Pelodiscus sinensis: one gene and its partners. The protein of the gene in region 1 purifies or fractionates together with the protein of each later gene. This does not show direct contact. Links are inferred from orthologs where the notes say so. Each region holds a gene or a part of one and is shown on either strand. Other genes may lie near its edges. The genes, in order: UTRN, SNTB2, DTNA and SNTB1.

Evidence for each region.
Region 2: the proteins of UTRN (region 1) and SNTB2 purify together in Homo sapiens (affinity purification with mass spectrometry; 4 studies listed by BioGRID and IntAct, with this or other methods). This does not show direct contact. The link is inferred for Pelodiscus sinensis from reciprocal best matches to the Homo sapiens genes UTRN and SNTB2.
Region 3: the proteins of UTRN (region 1) and DTNA purify together in Homo sapiens (affinity purification with mass spectrometry; 3 studies listed by BioGRID and IntAct, with this or other methods). This does not show direct contact. The link is inferred for Pelodiscus sinensis from reciprocal best matches to the Homo sapiens genes UTRN and DTNA.
Region 4: the proteins of UTRN (region 1) and SNTB1 purify together in Homo sapiens (affinity purification with mass spectrometry; 3 studies listed by BioGRID and IntAct, with this or other methods). This does not show direct contact. The link is inferred for Pelodiscus sinensis from reciprocal best matches to the Homo sapiens genes UTRN and SNTB1.

Annotation. Positions count from the first base shown.
Region 1 is NC_134713.1:102,214,353-102,221,362, reverse strand, and holds the start of UTRN (utrophin), read right to left. Parts: upstream 3,011-7,010; 5' UTR 2,836-3,010; coding exon 2,742-2,835; intron 1-2,741.
Region 2 is NC_134722.1:1,963,378-1,971,327, forward strand, and holds the start of SNTB2 (beta-2-syntrophin), read right to left. Parts: upstream 3,012-7,950; 5' UTR 2,934-3,011; coding exon 2,492-2,933; intron 1-2,491. Other genes in the region: UTP4 (U3 small nucleolar RNA-associated protein 4 homolog), read right to left, coding at 7,947-7,950. UniProt on the Homo sapiens protein: Adapter protein that binds to and probably organizes the subcellular localization of a variety of membrane proteins. May link various receptors to the actin cytoskeleton and the dystrophin glycoprotein complex.
Region 3 is NC_134712.1:70,973,002-70,980,223, forward strand, and holds the start of DTNA (dystrobrevin alpha), read right to left. Parts: upstream 3,007-7,222; 5' UTR 2,979-3,006; coding exon 2,725-2,978; intron 1-2,724. UniProt on the Homo sapiens protein: May be involved in the formation and stability of synapses as well as being involved in the clustering of nicotinic acetylcholine receptors.
Region 4 is NC_134712.1:21,362,384-21,369,902, reverse strand, and holds the start of SNTB1 (beta-1-syntrophin), read right to left. Parts: upstream 3,011-7,519; 5' UTR 2,543-3,010; coding exon 1,978-2,542; intron 1-1,977. UniProt on the Homo sapiens protein: Adapter protein that binds to and probably organizes the subcellular localization of a variety of membrane proteins. May link various receptors to the actin cytoskeleton and the dystrophin glycoprotein complex.

The DNA of each region.
Region 1 (7,010 bases):
AGAAAAAAAGCACATACGAAAGAGTCTTCAAAAACAGCTTTTCATTCAAGATGTAGAAAGGCAGTGTTCAAAATGTTCCTTCTGATCAACCGTGTTTTTTCTAGCTCTGGCAGATCGAGAACAGAGATGTAAATCCCATTTAATTGGTTAACCAGTTAAATGCAATGGGGGAGGAGGGATACGCTCCAGCCCAGCCTCTGCCTGTTGCTCCAGCCCCCACCTGTTAACCTTTCATACCCCCCTAATCAAGAGCTTTGACCTTTAGAAATGACCTACCTCTGTTTGCCATTTTATTTGTATTTCTCGTCCACTTTAGTAAGATTCAAAAGTGCATCCCATCTCTCCAAAGTCAGTAGAATATTGTTAGACAAACCTGTAGAGCAGGGGTTAGCAAACTATAGTCCACAAGAAGCTGAGAGCACAATCGGAGACCAGGCCACTACACGCTTGCTATGTCTCCGCACTACGGATACAATATCGTAGTCAATTAACCGATCAGCAAAAGGTTGTAGATTAATGCTATAGACCAGCGTTTCACAACCAGTGGTATGCGTACCCTTAGAGGTACTCGAGAGAAGTCTGGGGGGTACATCAACAACTGAAATTTGGAGAAAACTGAATTTTTATTTTAAGTTTTACAGCGCTTTATTATTTTTGTACTTTTTATACCCCAAAGTTTCATTGCCCGCCCGGCTACGATTAAGTTGTTCAAACAAATGTGTTGCAATGGTAGAAAAAAAATGTTGTGTGTCTGAAAACTGTAGGTACTGGGGGTAATTTTTTTTTTAAGGGGGGGAATTTTTTTTTTTAAGGGGGTACTTTATTTAAATAAAAAAAAGTTGAGAAACACTGCTGTAGACTATATGCATTTCTCCTCCACCCCTTGCCAGTAAATTTTTTAGTAGACTGGCCAGCAGCCTGGCTCAGTCCCAGCCCTACCTCCCTGCGACTCTGCATTTAAAGTGTGTTAGGAGCCAATCAGGCAGCCTGGCTCAGTTACGGCTCATGCCCAGTCCAGTTCAGACTCCTCTCCCCCAGACAGGGGTTGCCCGGGGACTAAAGAATTGACTAACCGGTAAGAATTCATAAGGTTAATCGACTACTCAATTAACCGAGATTTGACATCCCTACTCCACGTGCCTCCTGGAAGCATGGCGCTGCTTCCAGGATCTGTGTGAGGTGAGTGCCGCCCATAGCCTGTACCCCTTAAGCTCTGCCCTCATGCCCCAAACCCCTGCCCGAGGCCTGATCCCTCTCTCACCCTCTGACCCCTATGCAGAGCACCCTACTACACTTCAAATCTCTCATTCCCACCCCAAAGCCTGCACCCCCAGTCACAGCTTGCTCTCTCTTCCACTTCCTTGGCCCCTGCCCTAGCCAAGAGCCCCTCCTGCACTCTGAACGCCTGATTTTCGGCCCTACCACAGAACCCATGCCCCTAGTTGGAAGCCTCACCCACTCCTGAACCCCAAATGCTAATTTTGTGAGAGTTCCCAGTCTAAAATACAATCTCCATACCAAAAAGGAATCCTTCCTCTCCCTGCAGTGTATTATGATGTCCAAAACCAACTCCTATAGGTTGGACCTCCTGGGTCTGCAACACTTGGGACCTAACTGAACCCAAACAAAGGAATTTGCCAGACCAGGGAAATTTATGTAAAAGTAAGCATAATCAGAATCTCATCCCAGTGCTATATTCTACTTGAAATTGAGGGCTGTTCTTCTAAAATAGCACAGGAACATTGGTTTACGTAAAACTTCACAATCCAGCAGCAAAAAATTGAGTCCACACAAAGTAAATGAGTCAAACTCTCTGCTATTTGGCGGATTTGACGTCAATGGATGTGCGCCAAATTACATTAAGAGGTAATCATCACGAGGCAATAATGGTCTCAGAGCCAATGCTCTTCCATAGTCCAAGTACTATATAAGAAACTGGAATTCACAAATATGGGAGTAATCTGTTCCTGCTCTCCTGGTCTAGTTTTTTTTAGTCCTGGTCCCATATTTCACAGGTCTGGAATTTTAAAATTCCTAAAGAGGTTTCAAACAGAAAAAGAACGTACCCCCAGTTTACTGTCTCCCAAAATCCCATCTGAGTTATTTTCTGTTACAGAAAATCTCCTTCATGTGTCTCAAAACAGTAAAGGAGTCTTTTTTCAACTTTGGTTTTAAAAAAAAAAAAAATCATGTCAGCAACTGTGCTGAGATCTTAAAAGGAAGACTGTATATCTAATACTCAAATCACAGTAAGCAGAACTTTATTATAGATGTTCAATTAGATAATCAAATCAAAAAGATCTAGTGTTTCTCTCAGCTAAAAGCAAATGTCAGCAAGTCTTTCCGATCTTGTCTATATTCATTTTTCATACTTTAAAATGTATTTTCAGGGACACCAGTCAGTGAAAAAATAGAAACAATTTTAATAACTTTCTTCACCAAGTAAGCTAACACTTCAGATTAAAAAAAAATCATTGGTGAAAGGTGTTATATGACTGAATGGCCTAACAAGCAAATGTTAACCAGCCACAATTCATATAGTACTTGCAGTGAAGCTATGCCACAAATAGCAAATTGTAAACTATCCTTCCCTTGCACTGTTTCCTGCCATGCCTTTATGGTACTAGACTACGCAAACTTAAAACTGTGTTAATTTTAAAAAATGGCTAGCAAAAGATACAAAAAAAGTAAATGTATCTCTACTCTTGTAAAATATATTTGAGACTGAAATATGCTCTCACCTGGTGGAAGAGAACGAGCCGGAATATCTGTATGCCAAAGAAAATCAAACTTATACTTTTTCCACAGAACTTTTTTGGTTGTCTGACTGCTCATGATCAAGCTCAGTGTTTAAAAACAGGAAAAGTGAAAATGCAGAGGAAGTGCACACTAATAACAGCATGAGAACTGCATGCTGGGATTTTTAGGGGGGCGGTAGAGAAGATCATTTTTTTTCCTATGAAAGAACTGGACTCAAATCTCAACCACAATGTGAACCACTCAGGAAACACACAAGCTTTTACATTCAAGTATGTATGCAAACAACTTGAACTAATTAAAAGGTGCCCCCCCCCCGCGTAACAATCTATCATCAATACAGTGTTTGTATAAACTTTGCCTTTCTGCTTTCAAAGCAGAAGCAAGTCAAAATTCTACATAATGAAAATAGCAAAGACTCCATGACAATTCTCCTATGCTGTTTGAGGCAGCAGATATTTCATGTAACATTCTTTAAAGGCTCTACAAATATTCTCTTGCATTTAATTTCCAAATAGCTGTAATGATAATAAAATAATGCCTATCACTGACATAACCTTTTGCTTAATTCTTTATAGCAGATTATCTAAACTTCACCATTCCTATAAAGCAAGTACCAGATGTACCAGTTATTTCAAAGCAGTGCGAGGAATTTAGGCATACGTCTTCCAGTACTTTTAATTAAAGATCTATAATGAAACAGATGTGAAAAATCAGCTCTATAATATAGGTGTAAACAAAAGTTGAAATCTTCAAGATGTACAAATGCCAAGACAGACATACGCAAGAATAGTACTGTGTGTTTTTAATAATGTGGAGTAATATTAGCACCGTAACAATAGGTTTAAAAATCGTATTTGTACACACCCAGGGTACAAATCCCAGAGTATCCCTTCAAGAAGTATATGGCCCACAACTCTGTCCCCCTTTTCTGAAATCAACAAGCAAAACACAGCTCTGAATGCTTTAATTAGCTAATTAAAAGTTGCATCATTATGAAATATATTTTTAAGGTAACAAGTGATCTAATATGAGATTTAAATCTATTACAAAAGAGTATAATATAAGCCAAAGGGAGAGTTCTGTACAGAAAAGATAAAGTGATGCAAAACAGATGCCATGAAACTTACTCTAGGTCAGTAGTGTCCAACCAGTTCTGAACTCGCCACGTTCAACTGGCCAAATAGTCACCAGTGGCTAGCATGTTCGATACCACTGTTCTAGGTACTTGCATCTAAGCATATTTTAGGAATGATGCCAACACAGCAATGTAGTAGTTTTATTTATTAATACATAAGATTGATTAGCCTCTCCCAAAAGATTTTGCCAAAATATATTGTTTGCCATAAAAAAAAAAAAAAAAAAATCTCTCATCTTGATCAATTTTATTAGAAGAAAAACTACTTAAAATGCATGGTCCATTACTGCTATGCTAGCAATTACACACAGGAGTAGGACCAATCAGCTCCTATGCATCAAGCTATGGACAATTAAATGTTTTTCAAATTCAGTCCCTAAATTGAAATCCAAGTAAGAAGACACTCACTGACGTAAAACTAAATCATAATAGATGTGATTTGCAAAGGACTCACTTATAGAATCAGTAGGTTACAGGAACAATAAAGCATTAAAATAATTTGAAATTAAAAAAAAAAAAAAAAAAAGCAAGACTTCTGCCAAAATAAAACATACTGGACGGGAAACACACATCAACTGCAAGAGCTGGTAACCAAGGGATGGACATGCTGAGTTTTGGGGAAATAGTGTTAATACTAGAGCAAGGAGATTGTTTAAAAACAAAATCCTAAGTGTTCAACACATGCATTCTAGCTACAAATTACTTCATTCATTCTAATAAAATGGTCTCATTCCTACTACTGCTGAATTCAATAGACCGTTTATTTAGCAACTATCTGTCTCGGGTATGCACTCTCTTTTATTCATTCTGGTGTTGACAGCAGTAATCAAATTTTGTACATACCGCTGGCTCTATTATAGCCCAACAGTCACTGGCTGCCTGCCTAGTTTTCTTATCATACCCACAAGATTAAAAAAGGCCAGAGACCAGCTGGAACTACAGTAGAGTGAGGGTATAAGAAGTGGAGGGCCATGGTGGGCAAGGGGCTGTTTCAGCTCCCACTGGTTAACTGGAACAAGTAAACATCACCTGTTAAATAAACTTTCACATCTCTAGTTCAAACAAGGCCAGACTCAGCCCAGCCCAAAGCAGACCACCTTTAATAAATAATTTGGATAGGAATATAGTCGAGGCACATTTGAGGAGGATTATTTTCCTTTAGAATACCTCCACTCCACGCTTAGACAATAGAGTCTACTTCTACGAGCTTGGCTCACAGGAAACAGAAGGGAGACCAAAAAAGAAGTGTTGTTTTAAAAAAGCGTACTGTTGTGACGCACTCCATATTCTTAATGGAAATATGCTTATGATATGGATGTGACATAACTGAGATACATGAGAAAAGTGTAATACATCATTAGAAAGACTATGATTTACTTTACGTGATTATCCAATTTGTATGCCTGCATCACTCCTGCATCTGAAATGAGCAATATGGACCAATTGGATATGACGCGCTACAGGAGGCTCAACAGCCAATCTCAGCAGGACAGGGTAAAAGGGTGCTCCTGCTGGCACAACAAGCAGGCTCAGTGGTATTTCAGTACAGCAAGTAGCATATTAAAAGGGCACAACCTGTCAAAACTGCATCCTCTTATTCTAAGGCAAAGGTGCCCAACCTAGAGCCCACAGGTCATACTTTGTCCAGAGCAAAACAAAAGGTCTGCAGCCTAACAGTTGTTATATTAGGATTGTCATGTTTACATCATTTTAGTTTCCACAAGTGAATAAACTGACTATTCTCAGAGGGATGGTAATGTTACTCTGTATCTGCAAAAACAAGGAGTACTGTGGCACATTAAATACTAACACACACACACGCACACACACGTACGTATACACACTAAATAGGTTATTTCTATGTACAGAATAGTCAATCTTAATTCCATCAAAACAAGCTGAACTTAAAATATAAATCACTACAGGTGACTTTAAATCTTATTAAAATAGGTAGAATCTTTGTAGTCCATACAATGTTGTTCTTAGGTGTACGTGGCCCTCCTGGGTAATAAGGGTGGGCAGCACGGCTTTGAAGGCACACAAATACCAACACTCCTTTCCAGATTCAATTTCCAGATCAATTTCTTCCCAAAGAAAAGAGAAGATGGTATCAAACATTTTTAAAACCCATGGAGCTCTAATAAAAGCATGCTTACTCTGACTGACTCAGTTTCATTAATAACAGCATCGATATAACTGTGCATTAACAGTTAGTCAACTGACTGACTCATTTTGCAAAATAAGAGGCAATTATAGATTACAAATATTAACTTTAAGAATCTTCACACTTCCGTTCAGTCTTTTTGAAAAGTATTCCTGACTAATGACATTAAGAGAAGCCATATTTTGGGCCTTTTGAAATAGAAGACACATACAGGCAGTCCCCGGGTTACGTACAAGATAGGGACTGTAGGTTTGTTCTTAAGTTGAATCTGTATGTAAGTCGGAACTGGCGTCCAGATTCAGCCGCTGCTGAAACTGATCAGTTTCAACAGAGGCTGAATCTGGACGCCAGTTCTGACTTACATACAGATTCAACTTAAGAACCCCAGGCATCCCCAAGTCAGCTGCTGCTGAAACTGATCAGCGGCTGATTACAGGAAGCCCGGGGCAGGGGCTTCCTGTAGTCAGCCACTGCTCAGTTTCAGCAGCAGCTGACTTGGGGACGCCTGGGGCAGAGCAGCTGGGGTGCTGCTGGGTTGGTCCAGTAGCGCCGCCGCTCCTCGGCGATACTGGACCAACCCAGCAGCACCCAAGCTGCTCTGCCCCAGGCGTCCTGATTCAGCCACTGCTGAATCTGACCAGCAGTGGCTGAATCAGGACGCCTGGGGCAGAACAGCTGGGGTGCTGCCCGGTTGGTCCAGTAGCGCCCAGAGCGGTGCTACAGGACCAACTGGCAGCGCCCCAGCTGCTGTACCACAGGTGTCCGGAGCAAAGCCACGGAGCACGGGGGCAGCGGGACAGCCCAGACGCGCCGTGGCTGTCTTGCTGCTCTCGGGCTCCGTGGCTTTGCTCTGCTTTGCTCCCCGTCCCCCTGGTCTGCAGACCAGGGGGACGGGGAGCAAAGCAGAGCAAAGCCACGGAGCCCGAGAGCAGCAAAGCGGAGGAACACGCG
Region 2 (7,950 bases), on another chromosome or scaffold:
TCTCATCTATGTCTCAGATATTGAAGCCTTCAAATACTTTGAAGGCCCCAAGATGCAGAGAATCCTCCAGCTGTGATCTGTGCCCCATGCTACAGAGGAAGGCAAAAAACCTCCAGGGTCTCTGCCAATCTACCCTGGAGGAAAATTCCTTCCCGACCCCAAATATGGCGATCAGCTAAACCCTGAGCATGTGGGCAAGACTCATCAGCCAGACACCCAGAAAGTTTGCTACGTATTTCACATTTCTATAGCTAAATTCCTCTTAACACCCTCTCAATAGGCCTCCAATCTCCAGCACCTCTCTCAGCACCATCTTTGCAACAGCATGAATAGACTTTGCAAGAATTTTCATAAAACAAGTTGACAAATAAGCATTGTCAGAGCCAGAAAGTTCATAGCTGAGTTCAAGTACTTTCCCGTGAAGCTATCCCAGCTTCTTTCAGACCATTCCTTCCAACCAACAGTCCAAAGTCGTGAGCCCCAGAGCTCAATGCTCTTTGCAGAATGCCCGCCTCTCCCATTCAAGCAATCAGCAGTTTGATGCCAGTTACTTTACAGACACAAATACAAATCCATCACTTAATACTGCAACTTGCTTTTCTTCATGAACATTTTAGACCAGCAATGATTCTGCTTTAGGGAAAAGATTATTCCCACAAAACCAACATATCCAGGGATGTTAAGTAGCGGTTAATTATCTAATTGATAAGTTGATAGAATTTCCATCGACTACTTAATTAGTCGATGGGGGGGTGCTCAGTACCCTCCCCCCGTGGGTCTGCAGTTTAAATGTAGTAGGAGTCAGGCTCATGCTTCTTCCTCCCTTGCTGCCTCTGATACAGAGGGGAAGGGGAAGCAAGTAGCACCATGACTACCCGATAAGCCTAAATTTATCGGGTAGTTGACTACTCGGCTTACATCCCTAATCCACATGGGCCTCTATTTTAAGCGAAGACTGTTTTAAAGAGCTTCCACCTCCACGTAAACAGAAAACTTTGGCCTGTTGCTTTGCAGCCCAGCATTTAGATTCAGTCTGTTTTAGTAGCATTGGAGCACATCGATCACAAATGGTACTGCTCAAGCACCAGTGGACAAGACCGTACAACCGCATTCTCAGTTACAGCTATGGGGCTTCTAACCACAAATACTACCTTATCTGCTCAATTGCACATGTTGCCTCACTCAGCAACTGCAGAGCAGCAGCAGCAGCATCTCTACTGGAGGAAAAGCCACAACAAGAGACCTGAGAATCAGAATTGCACCATGGGTGAGGGCTTTTTGCAGCCAGCAGATGTTGCTGCTAGCCTGTGAGCCAGGCAGTGAACGATTCCCCTAAGAAAGGAAGGGAGGAGCCAGATTACATCTTCACTGGCAGCTTGTGGCCCCGAGTTACAGGTCATGAATTTTCCCAAAACAACAGACAAATCTAGGCATGGACTCCCACCCACTACTGTGAGAACACAAGCACACGTCAATACAGATCTTCAAGCGCGAGGGGACAAGTTCTCACGCAGGATGCGGGCTTGAGTCAGGACATGTCCCCTCTAACAGCGGGCAGCTCAGAGAGTTGAGTTAATGCCCATCACGCCCGCCGGCTGCTCAGAGAGGACAGACTGGAAGAGGAGGGCCACTCTCCGCTCTCAAAACCAGGACCATGCAGCACTTTAAAGATGAACAAGATGGTTTATTAGGCGATGATGTGAGAAAGTGGGTCTGGCCCACGAAAGCTCAAACAGTGGCATATCGTGCCAGTTTTCTTCCACTATTTGATCTGAGGCAGTGGGTCTGGCCCAGGCGAGCTCGTCACCTAATAAACCTGCCTAGTCCTGTGCTGTTCAGCCCGACCAGCCTAACCCGGCTGCGTCTCTATCACTCTCCTTTCTCAAGCTCTCTGCGCCCGGCTCTCGGCGCCCGCACGGGGACACCCCCGTGGTGCGGGGCCGCCCGCGGGGAGCCAGTGTCCGGGGCTCGGAGGGGGGGAGCCCGGGTCGCGCGGGGGGCCCTGAGAGACACGCCTCCCCCGCCCGCGGGGAGCTGGTGTCCAGGGCTCGGGGGGGGGGGCCCTGAGAGACACGCCTCCCCCGCCCGCGGGGAGCTGGTGTCCAGGGCTCGGGGGGGGGGGGCCCTGAGAGACACGCCTCCCCCGCCCGCGGGGAGCTGGTGTCCAGGGCTCGGGGGGGGGGGCCCTGAGAGACACGCCTCCCCCGCCCGCGGGGAGCTGGTGTCCAGGGCTCGGGGGGGGGGGGGGGGCCCTGAGAGACACGCCTCCCCCGCTCGCGGGGAGCCGGTGTCCGGGGCTGGGGGGAGGGGCCGGGTCGCGGGGGGGCCCTGAGAGACACGCCCCTCCCGCCCACGGGGAGCCGGTGTCCGGGGCTCGGGGGGGGGGGGGCCCTGAGAGACACGCCCCTCCCGCCCACGGGGAGCCGGTGTCCGGGGCTGGGGGGGGGCCGGGTCGCGGGGGGGCCCCGAGAGACACGCCCCCCCGCGGTACCTTCCAGCAGCACCTCGCGGCCGGCGCGCTTGAGCGCCTGCACGGCCTGGTCGTGGGTGGCGTCGCGCAGGTCGGTGCCGTTGACCGAGAGGATGGCGTCCCCCAGGCGCAGCGCGCCGCAGCGCTCGGCCGCCAGCCCCGGGAAGATGCGGGAGATGAGCACGGGCATGCGGTTCTCGCGCCCGCCCTTGATGCTGATGCCCAGCCCGCCCGCCTCGGCCTTCACCACCCGCACCCGCCGCACGCCCGGCGGCGCCGGCTCGGCCGCGGGCGGCTCGGGGCTGCCGGCGCCGTTGGGCAGCCCGTTGGGGGGCTCGGGCGGCGGCGGCTCCGAGGTGAGGCTCAGCGCCTCGCCGCTCAGCTCGGCCGCCACCCGCACCCAGCGCTCCCGCAGCAGCAGCTCCAGCAGCCCCGCCTTGGCGGCGCGCGTCCACACCGCCATGCCGCCAACCGCCCGCCCGCCCGCCGCGCGCCGGCCCGCTCAGCAGAGGCGGGCGCCGCCCCGGCCGCGGGCGAGTGCGCCCGCCCGGCCTCCGTCCCGCGCGCGATTGGCGGCCGGCGGCCAGAGGGGCGGGGCCTCGGGGCGGAGCCCCGCCCCCGCCGCAGCGCAGGGACGCACCCCCCCCGGGACGGGCGGCGAGGGGCGGGGCTTACGCCTCGAGCTCCTCCCACGGAGTGGGCGGGGCTTCTGCGGCTCCGCCCTCTTTCCCAAGGCCAAGGGGGTTGAGAGCCATAGACACCCCCCCCCCCCCCACACACACACACACTCCGTCCAAAGGGGTCTGCACAGAGCTTGGGCCAGCAGCACCCTAGCACCAGGGGCCCCTCCGGTGCCCTAGCTCAGCCCCGCCAGCTGTGCCCTCAACCAGCCAATCCAGCCCCAGCCAAGGCAGTAAGAACCAAACCCGACTGGGTCCAGAGCCGGGGATGGTCTGTCTGAAAAATACTATTGTCCTTGGGGCACTGTGGCGGGTGGCAGTGTAGAAAAAGCCCAAAGCTGGGGCATGGTTTGGGAACAGTTCCATCCAAGGCTAAACTGTATTAATAACAGGGAAAGGAGGGAGGCGAGTACATCCCTAGGTCCTCCCCTGCTGCAGGACTAGTGAAGGCAAAGCCCCGTGGGGAACACCAACACCCAGCTTTCCAGATCCCCTGCCTTTGCTTCACTTTCTTGCTCCAGGAAAAAGGTAGCCTGATCTCCCCGTTCCCCGCTGCAGCCCTGAACAAGGGGAGCAGAGCCAGGGCTAGACAGCGGGCGGCAGCACATCCAATCTTAAGGCAGAAATTCGGTTACAGGCCCGCTTGAGATTAGTACAGCCCCACCAGCCCGGAGCTTGCTGAATTCCTGCCTGAGGCTGGGCCTTGGCTACTGATCCCTCAGAGCCCTATTTTTAACTCAAGCAGATGTACCCACCAATGATCTCAGACTCCCCACAACACCTACTGAGAGGGGAAGTACAACCAACGCCTGCCAGCCCTTTGCCTAGCACCCTGTGAGCACAGGGTTGGGGGCAGGTGGTTCAGGCAGCAATAACCACACGAAGTTGACACCCCTTTCTCATTCATGAAAATGAAAGGGAATTGTGAATTAGAGCAGCGTGAGGCAGGACAGACATTTTTGCTTTAGAAATCAATTGGCTAAAATATTAGGAAAAACTCAGTTCAAGAAGTCACATATCAAGATTAAACTACATTTCCCCCCACCCCCGTGTTCTAGCTCTGTCTACTGCTCAAACAGCAGCAGCTGCAAGTTTTATGTGCACAAGCCAGTGTGTTGCACGTCAGACCTCTACTAAATATAATACACAACAAACAGCCACAATCAGTGCAATGTAACTTACTGGGATTTGGGAAGACTATAAGACCAGGTATCATATGTAACTAGGTAGTTTGACAAGGGCTTTGGAATGACCAGAGACAAGTTCTAAGAATGTAAAAGTGAAATGCATGGAGATGCCTATTTCCTAGAACTGGATGGGACCCTGAAAGGTCATCAAGTCCAGTCCCCTGCCTTCACAGCAGGACCAAATACCATCCCTGACAGATTTTGCCCCAGATCGCTAAATGGCTTCCTCAAGGATTGAGCTCACAATGCTGGGTTTAGCAGGCCAACATTCAAACCAGTTATCCCTCCCCCCTAAGAATGAGGTTGCCTATTCCAGAACTACCAGCAGCACAGGGGGAATCTAATTGTTAACACAATCGCTGTGATCAAAAAACACCAACTGCACTTTGGTAATGGGAGGTTTCCTGCTGCTCAGATGTATAAATGATGCTAAGGGGTAGCAGCCCACAGCACAAGGATGGGGGGGGAAGGGGGCTGCTCTTCTCCATAGAACAACCTACACTCCAGAACAATTCTTTGCACTGGGGTTTTCTGCTCCCAAGCAGGATGGGACAGAGGCCTGATCTGATTCACCATTTAGTATAAATGCTCTCCCCGCACGTGAGCTTTTGCCTTGAAATGGGAACTGCAGAGCAACTGAAATGTTGCTTAATTTCACCGGAGCTGCTGAAATCTGCTGAGTTGCTATTCACCGCGACCTGGTGAATTAGTTCTGATTGAGAGCTCTCAGCCTTCTCCTCCAGGCGATGATGCTGTAACTTGATCCAGGGGTTGGCCTTTGTGACAGCAGTACCAAGAGGGCTGCATAGGAATCACAAGTATAAGGGACAGCCCGGTGCTTTGTTAGAAGGTGACATGCCACAGGATTTCAGCAGGAGGGGGATTACAACAGCCAAAACGAGCCTCTGAACAGGAGCTGAATGGAAATGGCAGAATAGCCGAACGTGATGGGCGCAACCACATAGATGCAGACTGGAGAAGTATCCCCATGGGGGGAGCAGTCATGCAGCCCACAGATCACTCCCCAGCTACAGCCAGTGGTCTCCCTCCAGGGATCAGCAGGAAAACCCCAGCTCAGTGATTGAGGTTTTGCAAGTCTGAGCACACCCCCGTTCTTCACGTTTTGTGAATTAACTTCCTTTCCTGCTAACACGGACCAAGCTGTAACAAGCTGACAGCCTAGAGGGAGCCGCCCCCGCAGCCCTGCACCGCTTTCAAGCCTGTGGTTTCAGTTCAGAAACATTCACAATCAATTTTGCAGCAGCTTCGAATGACAAACACAGGGCTGGGAGGGCCCTGGAATGGTCACCTAGGCCAGTTCCTGCGCTAAGGCAGGGCCCAGTAAATCTTATGGGGAGATCAACTGAGTCTCCCTGTTTCCATGAGCCGTAACCACCTAACAGCTAAGGGAACGGTGCCCCCTGCTGGCGCAGCGTTAGAGGGGCCTGCAAAGCAAGCTGCAGGGTCCTCGGAGCCAGAAAGCCTGGTTGTGCACCACAGTTCAAAGTATCACTGGTAAAGGCTAAGAAAACACAGAGCAGCAGCTCTCAGACTGCTCCCGACCACTGCTTGTCCACAGGAGTATCTTCTGGAGCCGGCACAGGAAGGCAGCAAGAAGCAAGTGGGGCTAACTGATGGCAGAGGGGGGCAGGCCGCGTGGTCATGGAAGCGGGGTGCTCACACCACACTGTAAGGCCCAGCGCACGCGGCAAACGCAGATTCAGAACTGTGGGAGTAGAACAAGGGCATCCAACATGGAGCGGGAAGAGAAAGGGGGCCTGGAGGAGAAGGGTCATGGGGGTACAGGCTGCAGGGGCTGTCAGGAAAGGCCAGCAGCAGGCAGGCGGTGAAAGCAGGTGGCTACAGCATGCACACAAGTCACTGCCTGCGTGCGCAGCACCAACATCTACTCCACACACTCACAAGCCGGGCTGGAACGGTTCGCTCAGCTTGGCTTAGACAAGCCCCTCGGTGTTCCTGTAACTGCCTGCAGCGATGCTTGGGCTCGGATTTAGACGCATGCCCACGCATGGGGCACGCTGGGACTGCACACGCAAGCGGCCAGCTGGGCCCTTTGCACATGCAGGTTCTACGTTTTGAAGCTGGGTCCCCATGCCTGGCTGGGCACCTTCGGGATTTGAATCATGGCATAAGCAGTGAAATCAAGCATCTGCTTTCTGTAAAAGGGCCACCAAACCAGTAACATGCACCAGGAACTGCCTTTCAACTAGGGGCAGGAAAGGTTAACTGGTAAACATTACCCATACCAGGTGCTGCTTACTGGTCATGCTTAACCAGTAGGGGCTGGTCCAGCCTGGCTCCAGTGGGCGAGGGGAGGCACCAGGGCTGGACATGCTTTCCCCCGCCCCCGATCAATTGCTTAACCGGTCAAACATTATGTTTAACCGGTTAACTAATTAAACGGGATTTAACATTTCGGCTACGTCTCGATTGGCATGATTTTCCGCAAATGCTTTGAACGGAAAAGTTTTCCGTTAAAAGCATTTGCAGAAAAGAGCGTCTAGATTGGCACGGATGCTTTTCCGCACAAGCACTTTTTGCGGAAAAGTGTCCGTGCCAATCTAGACGCGGTTTTGCGCAAAAAAGCCCCGATCGCCATTTTCGCCATTGGGGCTTTTTTGCGGAAAACAGTCCTGTGCTGTCTACAGTGGCCCTCTTGAGCAAATGATTTGCGCAAGAGGGCTTTTGCCCGAACGGAAGCAGCATAGTATTTCCGCAAGAAGCACTGATTTCAGACAGTAGGAAGTCAGTGTTCTTGTGGAAATTCAAGCAGCCGGTGTAGACAGCTGGCAAGTTTCAACTCACCCTTCTAGTTTCAACTCACCCTGGTGCAGGCCTACTGTACACAGGTACCAGCTAAAAGAAATCCGGTGTGGCCGGCTACCGATCCCCCTCGAGCTAGTTGCTGTTTACACACAAAGAGCGGAGCATGAAATCTGGCTGGACGCAGGGTTTTGGCAGTGGCCAAAGTGGCTGTTTGTTGGTATGAATCTGGGTGAGAACTGACCACATCTGGCAGAAGCCAACGGGCAGCCCCCCCCCCATTCTCCCAGCGGGCAGCCCCCCCCCCCATTCTCCCAGCGGGCAGCCCAGCAGCAAGCCACCGAGGGGCGGGTGGCCAGGTCGAACACGGGCTGAGGTGTCAAAGGGGGTTCCATCCCCCAGTTAGGCTGCAGGGCTTTGGCACAGGGATTGCCTCTCCCGTGACATCCGCACAGAGCCGGGCTCCCAGGCCCCGCGAGCGATGGGGGCGAGAAGCGTTCCTGTCCGGCCTCAGGACCAGCCGCGCGGCAGGGAGAGCCGCCAGCATCCGGCGCAACGAAGGCCGTACTGACTGCAAGCCTGGGGCCTGCCCTGAGCGAGAAGGGGCCACGTTGCTGTAACCCTCCAGGAACGGGCCCTGGGGCCAGGCCAGCCTCTGCGGCGGCGAGAAGCCCCAAGGGGCAGGCGCCCATCCCACATCCCTTCTCTGGGACCCAGCCCTAGAGCCGTCGGGGCTGTAGGAAGGCAGAGGGAGAGTCCACAGCACAGCCGAGGTTTATTACTACCGGCGTCCCCAGCAGCAATAGTGCAGAGTGTCTGTGGCGCTTAG
Region 3 (7,222 bases), on another chromosome or scaffold:
TTTAAATAAGTTGTTCCAGAACAATGTTAACTCCAAGACTGTAGTCCAGAAAACTGCTGAACATAAAACAAACTTTCTGGACAGCTGTTAGATGGCAATTCAGTAAACTTCTAAAGAAGGACATGGTGTGTTTGTAGCCTTTGTTCTTCACAACTAATTCCCTCTGACTTTCAACTGCACAAGTGTAAAAGACTAGGAAGCCAATTCCCCACGCACACCAATTTTATACAGTGTATTTCCTTTGACTTCATTGCACTAAGAGCTGATTAAGGCTCTGATTCTGGAAACAGATATATGGGTGCTGACCTTTACATACTAAAGTCAACAGAATTTTACACTTGCAAAATTGGTGCAAGGGGAAAAATCACTCTCCAGGCTTTTACAATGCATAACAAAGTCGGAGGAAAGTAGTTGGGAAGAACAAAGACCTCAAAAACAAAAAATATCACCCTTGTTTTTCTTCTAAAAAATCATTTTGCTATCTAGCAGATTCTCCAAACCTCTCTCCTATTTTTCAGCAGTTTTTGGGTTGTGAAATCAATAACATTACATATGGATATCACCAGCACATCTACCAGGGTCAGGTCTGATACTATTATAAATGAGAGCAGAATCAGGAGTATGTGTAACTTGATGTTGATTACTGTCAATATATATTATAACACACAAAAACTATACTTGGAACAGATTACACTGAGACACAATTCAGAGGACCACATACACAGTGTCTCATTCTTAATTTATGTACTCAGGAAGTGACTGAGGCATAATTACTGATGCATAATTTTGTATTTATTCCTACTCTTGATGAGTGTAGCTCCTTATTTTGGTTGTAACTAAATCTCTAACAGGTCAGTACAGAATTTTTTACTTTATCCATTACTTTTTAAAATATATGAAGTATTAATTTTTATATTTAATTGTAATCATAATAATAACCATGATTGTAAATTTTGTTCATGTGGTAAACCAGTAAACACTACCAATACATTCAACACTGATATTGGGTAAATATAAGAATTTTGCAATGGGAGCAGGATCAAGCCCCTAAGAGCTGGCAGTAGTTATCCTGGAGGGGCACAAAGCACAAGTTATGAAGTTGAATTTGAACACACACTTCTAACCTATCCTCTGTCAACAGCTCACCATTTTTTCACAGCACTATTTTTTTACACTTTTTATCACTTCTTTTGTGAACAGTGTGCTGAATGCCAAAAGTGTGACAAATCCCCATAATGTGTTTGCCCAGTGCTGTTGGTAGTACATATGTGATATATGCTGACATTCAACTGAAAGCTTAGAAAAATACTGTTGGATTCTACGGCAATGATGGAGTTAAAGTTGAAAACATTCTCCTTTTTTGTGATCATTATATAACCATCTCCAATACCAGAATAATCAGGGAAAATGGCAGTGAAGTGTTCAAAAGAGAACAGTAAGTTACACAACTTTGAGCTTGACAGGATTTAAAGTCTAGAAATAATAAGCTTATGATATTGCTTTAACACTTTCTATTTCATGAACCTCTCATATCAAAGCCTGCACATTATTTATGTTCATTTGACCACAGTACCTCTAAAAGCTTAATTTAATTTTTAGGTAATAATTATTCTATGGTATAAATGCTATTATAGTACGAACTAACTATTCTACAGTGACTAGGATATTCATTGCAAATGAAAGTTTGTGAATCAGCAAGTGGACAGGCAATTACAAATACAAATACTGTATAATGCATTATCAAGTATATTTCAAACATTTATTAGCCAGTTTTTGATTAGTTGGTGATAATCCTTCATAGCACACCTGCAAAAGTGATCTGATACATTTAGTATAAATTATAGACTCCACTCAGTTAAATTTCTAGGGAAAAACACATACAGAGCCGGTGTTTAATCAGAGCTAGATGCATCTCTCCCTCTTCCAATCGCCCAGTATGTACACACATATACAAACATATTACAACTGCCAGGGTCATCAATGGAACAGCCAGTATATTTAAAGCCCAGGGGCAGGCAACGTGCACCTTCACTATTGAAAAAAACAACCCCACATAAAAGCTGAAGTACAGTAAAAGTCATATAACATATGTCCTTAGGCCTACAAAAAATTCCTTGAGCTTCCAACCTATAAACACACATACACACTCCCTTTCTGCACATGAGTGTATAAATTGGTGATGTTTTGTAATGAAATGCATGATGCCAATAACCAGGAAGCTTTATCCAAAAGCTCTCCCACCGGGACCTCCTTAATAGCAGACACCAAGTTCTCTATCCCTTCCTCTTCCCCTGCTTACCCCCTCAAGAATTCAGTATCAGCATCCCTCCAGCTCTCTCTGTAGCAGGACAACTCAGCTTGGAAAAATGAATCCACAGCGATGAACCAATGCAAATATGAGTCACACCAAAATATATTTATATCTAAATGGGCAACAGGCTGAATAACCCTCTCTCTGCCAGCACCTCCTTCCCCTGAGCCATTTCCATTGACACCGCAGTGCATTGCAACACTAGCAGCCGCCTCTGGCTCAGAAATTTTCACTCCCCCCCCCCCCCCCACTCCTTCCAGTATTAAACACTCTTCAGGCTCTTTGCAGTGCTGGGAACCGTCCTTAATGGAGGCTTCAGCATCCTCTGTAAGCCTTTTGGCTTTTGCAAGGAAAAAGGGGTGGGGAGGGGGAGAAGTGGGACAAGATGAGTGAAGGAATGAATGAATTGCTACCTCCAGAAAGGCTCTGTGGGCTGCTGCTTGCTCCTGCTCCTGCTGCTGTTGCTGCTGCTGCTGCTGTCACAGCGGATCAGCTGATATTTACCTGTGAGGTAATGCACACTCTGTAAGGTCACCATGCACCCACTGAAATAGAGTGCAAAGCAGGAGGCAGGCAGAGAGAGGGAGCTGCTGCTGCCGCTTCCCGCTGCGAGCCGAGAGGCTGCACCGCGCGCTGGCTGCTGATGCGGCTGCAGCTCCTGGCACATGCTGCAGGTGTCAGAGCAGAAGCTGCCCTGCCTCACACGGGACCCAGCGCGCTTCTGCACATGCTCCAGCCCCCGCCGGCGCCCCCACTGCACATGCCCAGTGGGCCCCTGAAGCCGCTGCCCGGCCCTGCGCCTGGAGCCTCGCTGCGCTTTCCCCAGGACGCGCCCTGGCCATGCGCGGGGGAGCCGGGTGGGGAGCGGAGCGCAGGAAGGGGCCGGAGGGGAGGGGGCTGAGCAGGAGGGATGACGTATTGGGGGATGGAGGAGCAGGAGGGGCTGAGGCGAGGAAGAGCCGCAGATTTGGGGGTGGGGAGCAAATCGAGGGTTGCAAGGAGCGGGCCAAGCGGCCGGAGAGGAGGCAGGAGCAGAGCGGGGCAGACGCGCATCGGCGGGGCGCTCTCGCGTTCGGGGGCCGCTGGGCGGGTGGAAGGGGCTGATCAGCTGGAAGGGTGATGGGGCGCCGCTTGGCGGGGGTGGAGGGGCAGAGCAGAGGGTGGGGGGGAGGTGATGGAGGAGCAGATCAGGAGGGGGCTGCACATCCTGGGGGGGGGGGGGTTGGACTGTCCGTATCCCAGACCCAAATCTAGAGTGACATCCAATGTCACAGCGTCACGTAATGAACATCCCCGGTGCTGGAACCGGAGTTGTTCCCCTCTATTGTGCTTCATTGTTAGCCGGGCAGTGACGTCACCCTGTTTCCCTCTGCACATTCCCTCCCGAGAGAGACGCGTTTTCTTCCAAGAGCCTTGCACCCGGCCTTGTACAGCCGAATCTGTAAAGCTAGAGAATAGAGAGCCCCTCTTTTTAGTGACTGTCAGCTATTTGAGTTTTTGCCTGTTTTAGTGTTTGTTTTCAAATTTGCATGTGCTCGCCTGCTCTCTCTCTCTCGCTCTATTTAGTAATGGGTTTTCTGTTAATGTCAAAAATGTGCCACCTTGTATAAACATTCATAATTGTTTTGCTAATGAAGCACTTTGTCAGTTCCGTCCAATTATTTTTCTGCAATCTATAAACCAGTTCTGTTCTGGTGATGTGTAATATCTCTGTGTATGTTTAAATTGACAGAGAGGCTATTTTCATTACTAGTTAATAAAAATTTGAATAATCCTATTACAAACCTGCATGAACAGGATTTTTCTCATGAGAGGGAAGCCACTTAAAGTACTAGAATCTTGAAGATTTAATGTATTTTCTTTCCTGAGTGCTAATATGTCTTGAATCACATTTTTTACCTCCTAAGATCTCCACACTCAATCCTCATATAGCCTTATTATTTGAGCTATAGTGGGAAGAGATGATGTAAGCCTTAGTGCATTAAAACACAGTATGCATAGGCCCAAAGTGTCCAATTTCCCAACCTAAACTTACAGAGCTACATACAGATTTAGACCCTGCTCCAGTAGGGAGTTATGCATGTGCTTAGCTTTGTTCATATGAGCAGCTCCATTTAAGTCAATGGCACTACTCATATGAGCAAAAGTAAGCACGTGTGTAAGTGTAGGATTGCAGCCTCCAGTACACTATAAGTACCCTGATTGTCAATGCAAAGTAATGTGATTTCCTTCCCCACCCCAAATATGGCTTGTCCAACTGTTCATGACCCATTCAGCATGGACTTAATACAGCGCTTAGCAGGATAGGGTTTTCAGATGCACATCTTTCTCTTTCACACATTACCTGAAAATTAGAAACTGCTATCTTTATGGCAAATCTAATGCATATCGCTTCAGAGGGGTAGCCGAGTTAGTCTATAACAGGAAACACTTGAAAAACAAATAATCTAGTAGCACTTTAAAGACTAACAAAACATGTATGGTATCTTGAGCTTTCATGGGCACAACCCACTTCTTCAGATGACTAAAGTGTGTTGGAAGTCCAGATCCAAAAATAAATAAGGGAAGGAGGGAAGGCGGGGGAGAGAAGGAAAAAAATTGAAGGGGAAGAAAAAAAAGACAGTGAGTAGATAAGCTTCAGGGGATAGCAGAGTGAATGTGTAACAGGAAAAACTTAAAAAACAACAAACAGTCTAGTAGCATCTTAACGACTAAATAGTTACAAGAGGCTGATAAGAACCATTAGTTAGCTCTTGGAAAGGAAAATAACCAATCCCAGATTCTAAACAGACATCAAGAACCATTAGCTCCTTCATTGTTACTTTTGCAGATCCATTAATGAGTGTCCAGGAAGATTAAAGTGTTCTCCAACAGCCTTTTGTGTATTGCCTTTCAGATATCTGATTTGTGTCCATTAATTCTTTCCCGTACAGACTGTCCAGTAGGCCGATACACATTGCAGTGGGGGCATTGCTGGCATTTGATGGCATAGCTCACATTAGTGCAGGGGTTCCCAAACTTTTTGACAAGGGGACCAGTAAATCCATTCATGAGCATTTGGAGGACTGGTAACATTCATTTGCATATTTGCATATTCATTAAGCAAATGATTAATATTCAAATAAGTTGTTTCTGGTCCTCCCAAAGCCCCCAGTGCCAGCTTTAGCAAAGCTTTTGATACAGTCACCCACAGTATTCTTGCCAGCATGTTAAGGGAATATGGATGGGATAAATGGACTGTAAGATGGATAGAAAGCTGGCTAGACCAGGGTTTCCCAAACTTATTACTTTAGTTGGAACCCGTTTTTTTCAGTACTGTTTTTTGCAGCCCAAAAATATAAACGCATATAAAAAAAGAATTAAAAATGAATAAATTTTCAGTGTTTCACCCGGATGCATCCTCCACCCAGCTTGGGCCAGGTCTTGGGGGATTCAGCGCCGCATGGGCACTCCAGGAGGCGGGTGCAGGAGCAGATTGGGGGAAGGGTATCTGGCTAGGAGGGAGTGTGCAAGGAGGGGTAGGGTTGCCAGGTGTCCAGTTTTGTACCAGACAGTCCGGTATTTGAGGGTTCTATCCAGGAAACAAATTGAGAAAATACCAGACATAAAATGTCTGGTATTTTCTAATTAGGTACGTTTTATTATTATTATTAGGTGTATCAGTCGTAGCTGCGAACTGCCTGGCTGGTAAATGTGCTCACACTGCATGAGTGTGTCTACCGGCCAGGCAGTTCGCAACTACTCGAGGGAGGGTATGGGGAGGGGAATGGAATCCCCAGGGCAGGACTCACTCATGTGCCCAGGTTAGTCCTGCTTCCCGCCGGCCGATTCACTGGCCCCACTCCCTGCTTCTCCTCCCGATCTCCCCAGGTCAGTCCCACTGCCCCCATCCAGCCCTGCTTCCAGTGGCTGGTTCTCCAGTCCTCCTCCTCCCAATCTCCCCCAGCCAGTCCCCCCGGCCAGCCCTGCTTCCACTACCTGCCTGCCCCGATCTCCGCCGGACAGCCCTGCTGCCCCCAACTATGCTTCCGCCGGCCGGCTGCCCTCTCCTCCCCAATCTCCACCAGACACCCCTGCTGCCCCTAATCTTGCTTCCTGGTGGCCCATTCCCCCCCCACACACACACCTCCTTCCAGCCCATCCCGCCCCACTCCCCTCCCAGCAGCCACGCTGAGGCCCAGTATATTTGTCCCGCGGCCTGGTACTGGGCCGCCGCCCATAGTTCAGGAAACGCTGCATTAGTGAATGTGCAGTTAAACGAGCTACTGATTTGGTGGCTGATGTGGTTGGGTCCAGTGACGAAAACACTTGTGTAGATATATGGGCAGAGCTGGCACCGGGGCTGATTGCAAGGGTGGGTTCCTGGATGCTTATGATGTAGCTGTGTTGCATAGTTACCGGAAAGAATTTGTTTCAGGTTAGGGGGTTGTCATTAAGCCAGAATAGGCCTTTCCCCCAAGACCACTGAGAGTGAAGGGTCATTTTCCAGGATAAGTTGTAGATTTTTGATAATGTGTTGGAGGGGTTTAAGTTGTGGACTGTAGGTGATGACAAGTGGAATTCTGTTGTTTTCTCTTTTGGGCCTATCTTGAAGGAGTTCATGTCTGGGTACTTTTTTGGCTCTGTCAATCTGTTTTTTCCCTTCTCTAGGTGGGTATTTCAGTTTTAAGAATTCTCTATATAGATCCTGAAGGTTTTTGTCTCTGTCTGTGGAACTGGAGCAAATCCGGTTGTATCTTAGGGCTTGGCTGTATACAATAAATTGAGAAATGTGTCTGGGATGGAAGCTAGAGGCATGAAGGTAAGTGCAGTGGTTGGTTAGTTTCTGGTATATGGTGGTGGAAATTTGTCCATCATTTAATTGTACTGTAGTGTCAAGAAAGTGGATTTCTTGTGTGGACTGATCGAGGC
Region 4 (7,519 bases), on another chromosome or scaffold:
CTGGGTGACAAGGTCCCCTTGTTATAAGATGCAAAGTTGATCAGCTCCTCACTTTCACAGCCAGAGTAATCTGAAATGCCTTGTGTTTCACCCCACAGACGCTATAAGGTTTTAAACCAAGGATTCTCATCCCCTTTCCATATCGCAAGCCTATATTCAGGTATTTACAACTGATCCACAAATGCATCCCATAATTCTTAGCACTGGCTCCCACAGCTCCTCCAAGAAGTGTTACCATTTTTCAGTGACTCAAGAGAGGCAAATCAGAAACTGTGCTGTTGTTTAGTAGAACCAGAGGACGAACAGGCTGCAAATGACTGAACAAATCCATTTCAAACTAAGATAGGAGACATGGAATAGCAGCAGGTTCACCACCTCGCTCCACAAATGTTAATGACTCAAAGGTCAAGAACTGCTGGTTAAATGAACTTATGTACAAATAGGCACTTTATCAAACACACACATGCATACCAAGGGCATTTTCTGTTTAACACGCAATAGGCATATTTGTTTCTGCTGATCCTTTTCTCAGGTCTAGCAACTAAATTAACTCGCCTGGAAAAGACTCTTCAACTACCCTCCCCCCAAAAATCTTGAGATCAATGGAACTTTCTTTCCGGTCTTTAACTTATTCTCTCTTCTTTTTTGCTCTTTTTTCATACAGTCTGTGCCAAAACCCTCAAAGACTCGCTTCTTTTGCATTCCATTTTTAAGGTGGCTTCTAAAAGATCATCTCACCGCAGTCTGTGGTTTTTTCCCCTACAAACGTTTCAATGAGATATTTGCCAATTTCTATCACATCTGTTCCCCTTCTCTCCTGGGATGAACTAAGAAGGGTGTGTATGTGTAAATTTCAGTCATTTCAAATCACAGAGTTGCCATAGCCCTATGTGATGTGATCTGCTTGTTTCTCTTGCCTTTTTGCAGAGCAAAAGTAATAGTCAAACTCTCTCTCTGCCTTCTGGATTTGAAGTCTGCTTTTTTTGTGCCTTTGTTAGTCAAACACAACATGACAAACACTGTCTTGGATTATCGGAGCTGTTTAGGAAGGGTTTGCTAACTATGTCTCTTTGCAGAAAGGGCTGCAAAGCCCCAGGCTGGAGATCCTGCAGATAATTGTCACTTAACACACTACCAAATGTCAAAATGTGGACGATCTCAGTAGTTCAGGCAGTTCTGTCACTTTTTTTCCCTCCCCCTTGACAAGAGTTTAAAATCTCTCAACCTTGTGCCCAGGGAAGTGCAGGTAGTTTCTTTATGTCCCGTTCAGGTTTGCATTGTACTGTAGTTTGTGACCTGGCTTTCCTCTTCCTCCCTTTTTTTATTTTTTTTAACATACACATAGTGAAACTTGCAAAGCCCTTAGCTTGGCGCTGGGGTTCCCGGAGTTTCTTTAGTCAAATTAACCCCTAGCTTTCCCTAGCCATAGGCGGGGATCTCTCCGCTAACCTACCATCCGATCTGTTTGGGGAAGCTGTCCCCTCTCACAAGCTCCGAGTTGAGCAGGACGCCTAAGGATCTTAGCGCTGCTTGTAAAACCAAATTAACTCTTTACTTCCAAGTCACAGACACGCACAGCCCTGGCGTTTGTGATCTGGGCACTCTAGGGAGGATATACTCCCTCTGCCCCCTCAATAAACACGCCAGAGAACAGGTAGCAAGAAGGCCCAACTTTGCAGGGGTGAAAACCCCTTACCTACTGCTGTCCCATGGACAGCAGGATCCACCCTGCCCTGCCAGCGTCTCAAAGCTCATGATACTCTCTCGATATATTTGTTAGTCTCTCAGGTGCTACAGGATCACTTGTTTTTTAAAGTTGCAGACTCACAAAACTACCCCCTGAGAGTTTTTAACAGGGGCAGGGGAGTGGTTGGGACACACAGGAGTCCTGTGTCTTTCCCCCTGCTCATCACCCACTGCCCAGTGTGCAAGGCCTGGGGCAGAGGGACAGCCGCCGGGCTCCTTTTAACCCCTTACCTTCCAGCAGCACCTCCTTGCCCGCCCGCTTGAGCGCCTGCACCGCCTCGTCGTGGGTGGCGTCCCGCAGGTCCGTCCCGTTCACGGCCAGGATGGCATCTCCCACGTAGAGGGCCTGGGTCTGGTCGGCCGCCAGCCCCTTGAAGATCTTGCTGATGAGGATGGGCATCTTGTTCTCCTTGCCCCCCTTGATGCTGATGCCCAGCCCGCCCAGCTCCTGCTTCAGCACCTTCACGCACCGCTTCTTGTTGGAGATGGCGTCGGGCACTTGCTCGGGGAGCTCGGTGAAGGCGGTGCGCACCCCGGGGCCACCCCCCGCCTTGGGGCTGCCGCCGCCGCCGGGCGGCTCGGGGCTGGCGGCGGCCGCCCCCCGGCAGGGCACCCCGTTGCCGCTGGCCCCGACGCCGTTGTGGGCTGCGCCGTCGGCGCGCTCCTCGCAGCTCAGCACCAGCGCATCCTCGCCCAAGTTGGCCAGGACTTTGTGCCAGCGGTCCCGCACCAGGACTTCCAGCCAGCCGCTCCGCTGCTGCGCCCGGCCGCCGGCCGCCGCTGCCGCTCCCGCCATCTTTGGAGCATTCTTAGCGCACCATGTGATTGCACCGCCCGGCCGCCAGCCCGCCAGCCGCGCACAGGACAGGGCTGCGCCCCGGGAGCGCCCCGAGCGCCGCCAGCCGCGCCCGCCGGCCGGGGGCGGAGCAAAGCCCGCGGCTCGCCCAGCGCCCGGCCAGGCGGCTGCCTCGCAGGCGCCACCTCCGCTCACCTGCTGCGGGGCGGCACGTGGAGGGGGGGGGCCCTGGCAGCGCAGCCCCGGGCGCGCCCCAAGCCGGGCAGGGCGCTCGCCCACCTGCTGCCCGGCCCGTCAGCGCCCGCTGCTCCCCCCTCCCGGCCCCGAGGAGAGAAACGCGCACAGCAGGGAGCGCCTGGGGGGCAGCTCGTCCGCTCCGCACCCCAGCGAACCCTGGCCTCCTCGCCCCGCGGCAGCACGCGCAGACGCGTCTCTTCCCTGACCCAGCGCTAGCTCCGGTCTGCCCAGCGGCGCGCTCAGCCCCATTCTCCCAGCGAGTTACTTTCCATGTCTTCCTGGGGGCAGTCTCCCCACTCACCGCCCCAGGTCTGGGAAGCCCCTTCCCCTCTTCCCGTCTCTCCACTTTGCCTCGCTTTCCCTTTGCATTCACTCCAGCTGAGCCAGTGTTACTAACCACTAACAGAGCATAGCCTGGGACAGAACATGAACATAATGGTCGCACTGGGTCAGACCAGATCTGGGGTCATTTGGCGCCGTAGCTCGTCTGTTGGTAGCAAATTTTGCAAGATGCTAAAGAGGAAATGTGCAGAACAGGGTAATTATGGAGTCATCTATCCCCTCTTATCCAGTCCCGGCTTCTGGCAGCAGAGGGACACCCAGAGCATGGGGTTGCATCTGCTGTCGATGGAGCTGTCCTTCATGGATTTATTTAATACGTTTCTTAATGCATTTATACTCTGAGCTTTTGCAGCATCCCCCTGGCAACAAGTTCCACAGAGTGACTTTATATTGTGTGAAGAACAACTTTCTTTTGTCTGTTTTAAACTTGTTGTCTGTTAAATTCATTGTGTGACTATTGGTTCTTGAATGAAGGAATCAACAGCGCTGCCTTATTTACTTTCTCCACACCATTCACAATTTTCTCCCTCAATCCTATATCCATGTAATTGTCTCTTTTCAAAGCTGAACCATCCCTGTCTTTTTACTCTCTCATCATAGGGAAGTTGCTTCATTCCCCTAATCATGTTTGTTGCCTCTCTGTACTTTTCCAATTCTATCTTTTTTTAAACAGCATTCCAGGTGTGGGAATACCAGGTATTTATACAGTGGTATCATATATTTTCTTATTATCTATACCTTTCCTGATGGTTCCTAATATTTGCTAGGTTTTTTTGGGGGGGGGGGGAGTGTTTACTTCGGCTGCATACCGAGTGGAGGTTTTCAGAGAACTATCCACAGAGACTCCAATATCTCTTTCTTGAGTGGTAACAGCAATACACAATTCACACCTCCTGATACTGGGAAAGGGACAATATAAAGGGGGGGGAACAAGACACAGCTACTTCTTTTACCATCTGATTATATGTGGTAGGTACTGAAGGCAGGGAAAGGTGGAGCCTCCCCAAATAGCCTTGTGAGGCCCTGGACATGTTCTGCACCCAGGCCCCTTGTCACTTCTCACTGCTGTGGGGAGAGCTGGATTACCCAATAGTCAGACAAAGCACTTGTTTAGGCACCAGCAAAGCAGGGGCACCAAAAAAAATGAGATTTTTTTTTAAAGTTGATATTTCAAAAAAAGCATCGAAGTAGTCCTCATGGGAAAAATCAGAACTCCACAGAACGCTCTTTTTCTCAGCTGAAAAGAATAAAAAACCCTCAGAGAACAACAATGTGTCAGGACAGACTTGATTCACTTTCCCTATTGTGTATGGAAGTGGACATTTTAATTTCAACATACATGTAAGTTTTGTGTCATTTCAAAAAATAAAATTTTATTGTACGGTATAGTATTGTATTTCTTTTGAATTACATATGGGGAGGCACCATAATCTTTTCAGTGCTTAGGGTCTCTAAAGGTCTTAATCCAGCCCTAGCTGTGGGGAACTTTTCCCCCTATGGCTGGGGGCCCAGGTTGGGATTAATGAAGGCTGGCCTGTGCACTGGACTGGGGAAAGCCTCGCACCACCTGCCCACTTGGCATGTTGGGGGGTGGAGCATGCTCCCACTATCCAACACTTAAGAGCATGGCCTTCTACTCACCTGCCTGGTGCTCTGGGGTTGGAGTGGGGAGCTACACTGGCAACCCATTTCACTGGGTGTGAGGGACAGTGGCCCAGGTCTTGGGGGGGGGCTGCCAGCATTGGGAGGGGGGCTGCTAGGCTTCAGAAAGAAGGTGTGGGACCTTGGGCAGAACAGGCAGGGGCAAGTCTCCCTGAGCCTGGGGTTCACCTGCCACCCATGCAGATGATGGTGGCCACCTCTGTGCAGCATGGATGTTGCCAGAAAGCGTGGCTGAGGAGTCAGCAGCAGTCGCCTCATCGACACCCTCCCACACCCTGTTGCCTTCCATGGACAGGAAACGAGCCCCAAGGGAGGCAACAGAATTCAGGGCTTCAGTTTCGTGCACACCAAAGCTTGAGACTTCGGCCCAATAGGCAGTGCTGGGAGCTGGGGCTTTTGCCCTGTCAGAGGTGCTGAGGCTCAGGACTGTAGCCCCACAGGGCACGCTGGGACCCAGGGCTTCAGCCCAACGGGTTTGAAAATATTTATCAGAGTTCTGCTCTGGACACCAGTTGCATTTAAATCCAAACTATTTGAGGTGGGAGAGTCCAGAGACCAGGCTCCAGACCAATCCCCAAAGTTTACACAGCAGCAAAACAGCCCTGATATGGGCCAGCTGCAGATTTTTTCTTTTCTGTGTAGACAGACTCCTAGCGAGCCACAGCCTCTCCCCCAAAGAGCTTTCAGTCTAGCATTACAAGACATAATAAGGGGTTGAAACAACTACTAGGGAAGTAGATGGAGCAATGTTGGTTAGGACAGGATAGCTGAAATGCAAGCTTATTTTTTCATAGACTAAGCTGTATAGACACAAGAAAGCGGCACAATAGAAATGCTTTTTAAGGGATGAGGAAATTGAAATACAGTTGCACTAATGTACAGGGCAGTGAAACGTCACTTATTGCAAATTAGAAGGAATGTTCCCAACTGTTACTCTGCATGACAAGGTGCACATAGGAAGTGTTTCCTGTCAGAGAATCTCTGCTCTGAATCCCTGTATCTGCTGAAGAAGCACAGTACGACATGTCTACACAGCACGGCAAAAATCGAATTGAGATATGCAACTTCAGCTACATCAATTGCATAGCTGAAGTCAATATAGCTTAATTCAGCTTTTGGTGCTGTATACACAGCAGGAAGTCGAAGCAAGAACACACTTCTTTCGACTTCCGTACTCCTTGTAAAATGAGGGTTACAGGAATCAGAGTAAGAAGGCCTCCAGCTTGACATTATTCCAAAATAATGGTGCTGTGTAGATGTGCCTGTAGAGTCCTAAGCCAGTGGCTTTCAACTGGCCTGGGCCTAGAGTGCACAGTAGCTTGTGAGACAGAACCAGTTATGCCTGTCTGCCCCTTACAGCATGAGTCTGTTATTTCATGTTTAGCTTCCAGTTCAAAAACTTGCCAACTGTGCAAGCTTCTGCTCTTGGCCCTGTGGCTTTTGAGTCATTAGGGTGCACTCATGACAATTACAAGCTTTCTTTGCAGCCATGAGAGCTGGAAACTTAACTTTTTAGCTGAAATTCTCCAGCAATCATTTTATGATGCCCCTGCTCATGCTTTATGAGAATTGACTTGTGAGTATAAATATGCATACCTCGAAAATGCTTAAGGCAAAATACCTCATGTAACCTAATAATTTTCATGTTACAATCTGCTGAATGTATATATCCTATTGTGGTGCATGTATCATTCTTGTGTGTGACGTTAAAAATACAAAGTGTGGATCTGTTTATAGTTCTAAATGTGTTAAAGGCAGCCATCACTGATACTCTGGAAACCTAATGATTCAGTAATCAACTTCATAACCTGTGAATAGCCTTGTTTGGCCTGTAAGCCCAAACGATGATTGGTCCTAGAAAAACATGTGACCATACCACCTGGTACTGAAATACATTTTGAACCTGGTATTTTTCCATGGGAATGGAGAATGCCAAAAAAGGGTTCCCATCCTGGGGGAAAGTCTTCTTTAAGCAATGGGAAGCAATCAGCTTTTGTCTTCAGCTGGCTTTTGAAACTGAAACTATATAATTCCCCAAAGTGGTGAACACTGATAGATATGCTAAGCACTCTTCTTTTGGGCTTCATGGAAGGAGCAACTAACTCCATTTATGCAGCGAGAGAGCTGAAAACTATAGAAGGCACTGTCCAAAGCAATGGGCCATAGGGCAAACCCATAGGAGAAGCTGACTGTGGGCTGAGGCTAAGATTTGGTCTATACTACAGAGTAAGTGAATATTGACTTAACTATGCAAGTGTCTACTCTTAAATTTTCCTCCCACTGATGTAACTGCCCTGTAATGCTGACTCAATAATTCCACCTCCAGGAGCAGTGTAGATGTAAGGTTGATATAATTAGGTCAACGTAGTGTCATTTAGATGCTGCATTGCTTACATCAATTATTTTTGGCTTGCAGGAAATGTCCCACAATGCCCTACCCTGCCAGGACAATCAATATATGCCTTCCTGGTGAGGACGCACATTGCCGATCAGAGCTGGATTAAAAGGGGGGGCTAGCCGGGCAGCTGCCCAGGGCGCCAACCTATAGGGGGCGCCTGATTGCAGTTGTAAGGGGCGCTGCGTGCCCATGGTCAGGGCCACACATGCGCCACGTGCCCGCTGCCCGGGGCGCAAGAATGGCTCGGGCCGGCACTGTTGCTGATACAGAAGCAAAGTAAAGATATGCACAAGCGATGTACCTTGGTGGCTGTATGCTGATGTAAATTAGGCCAGCTT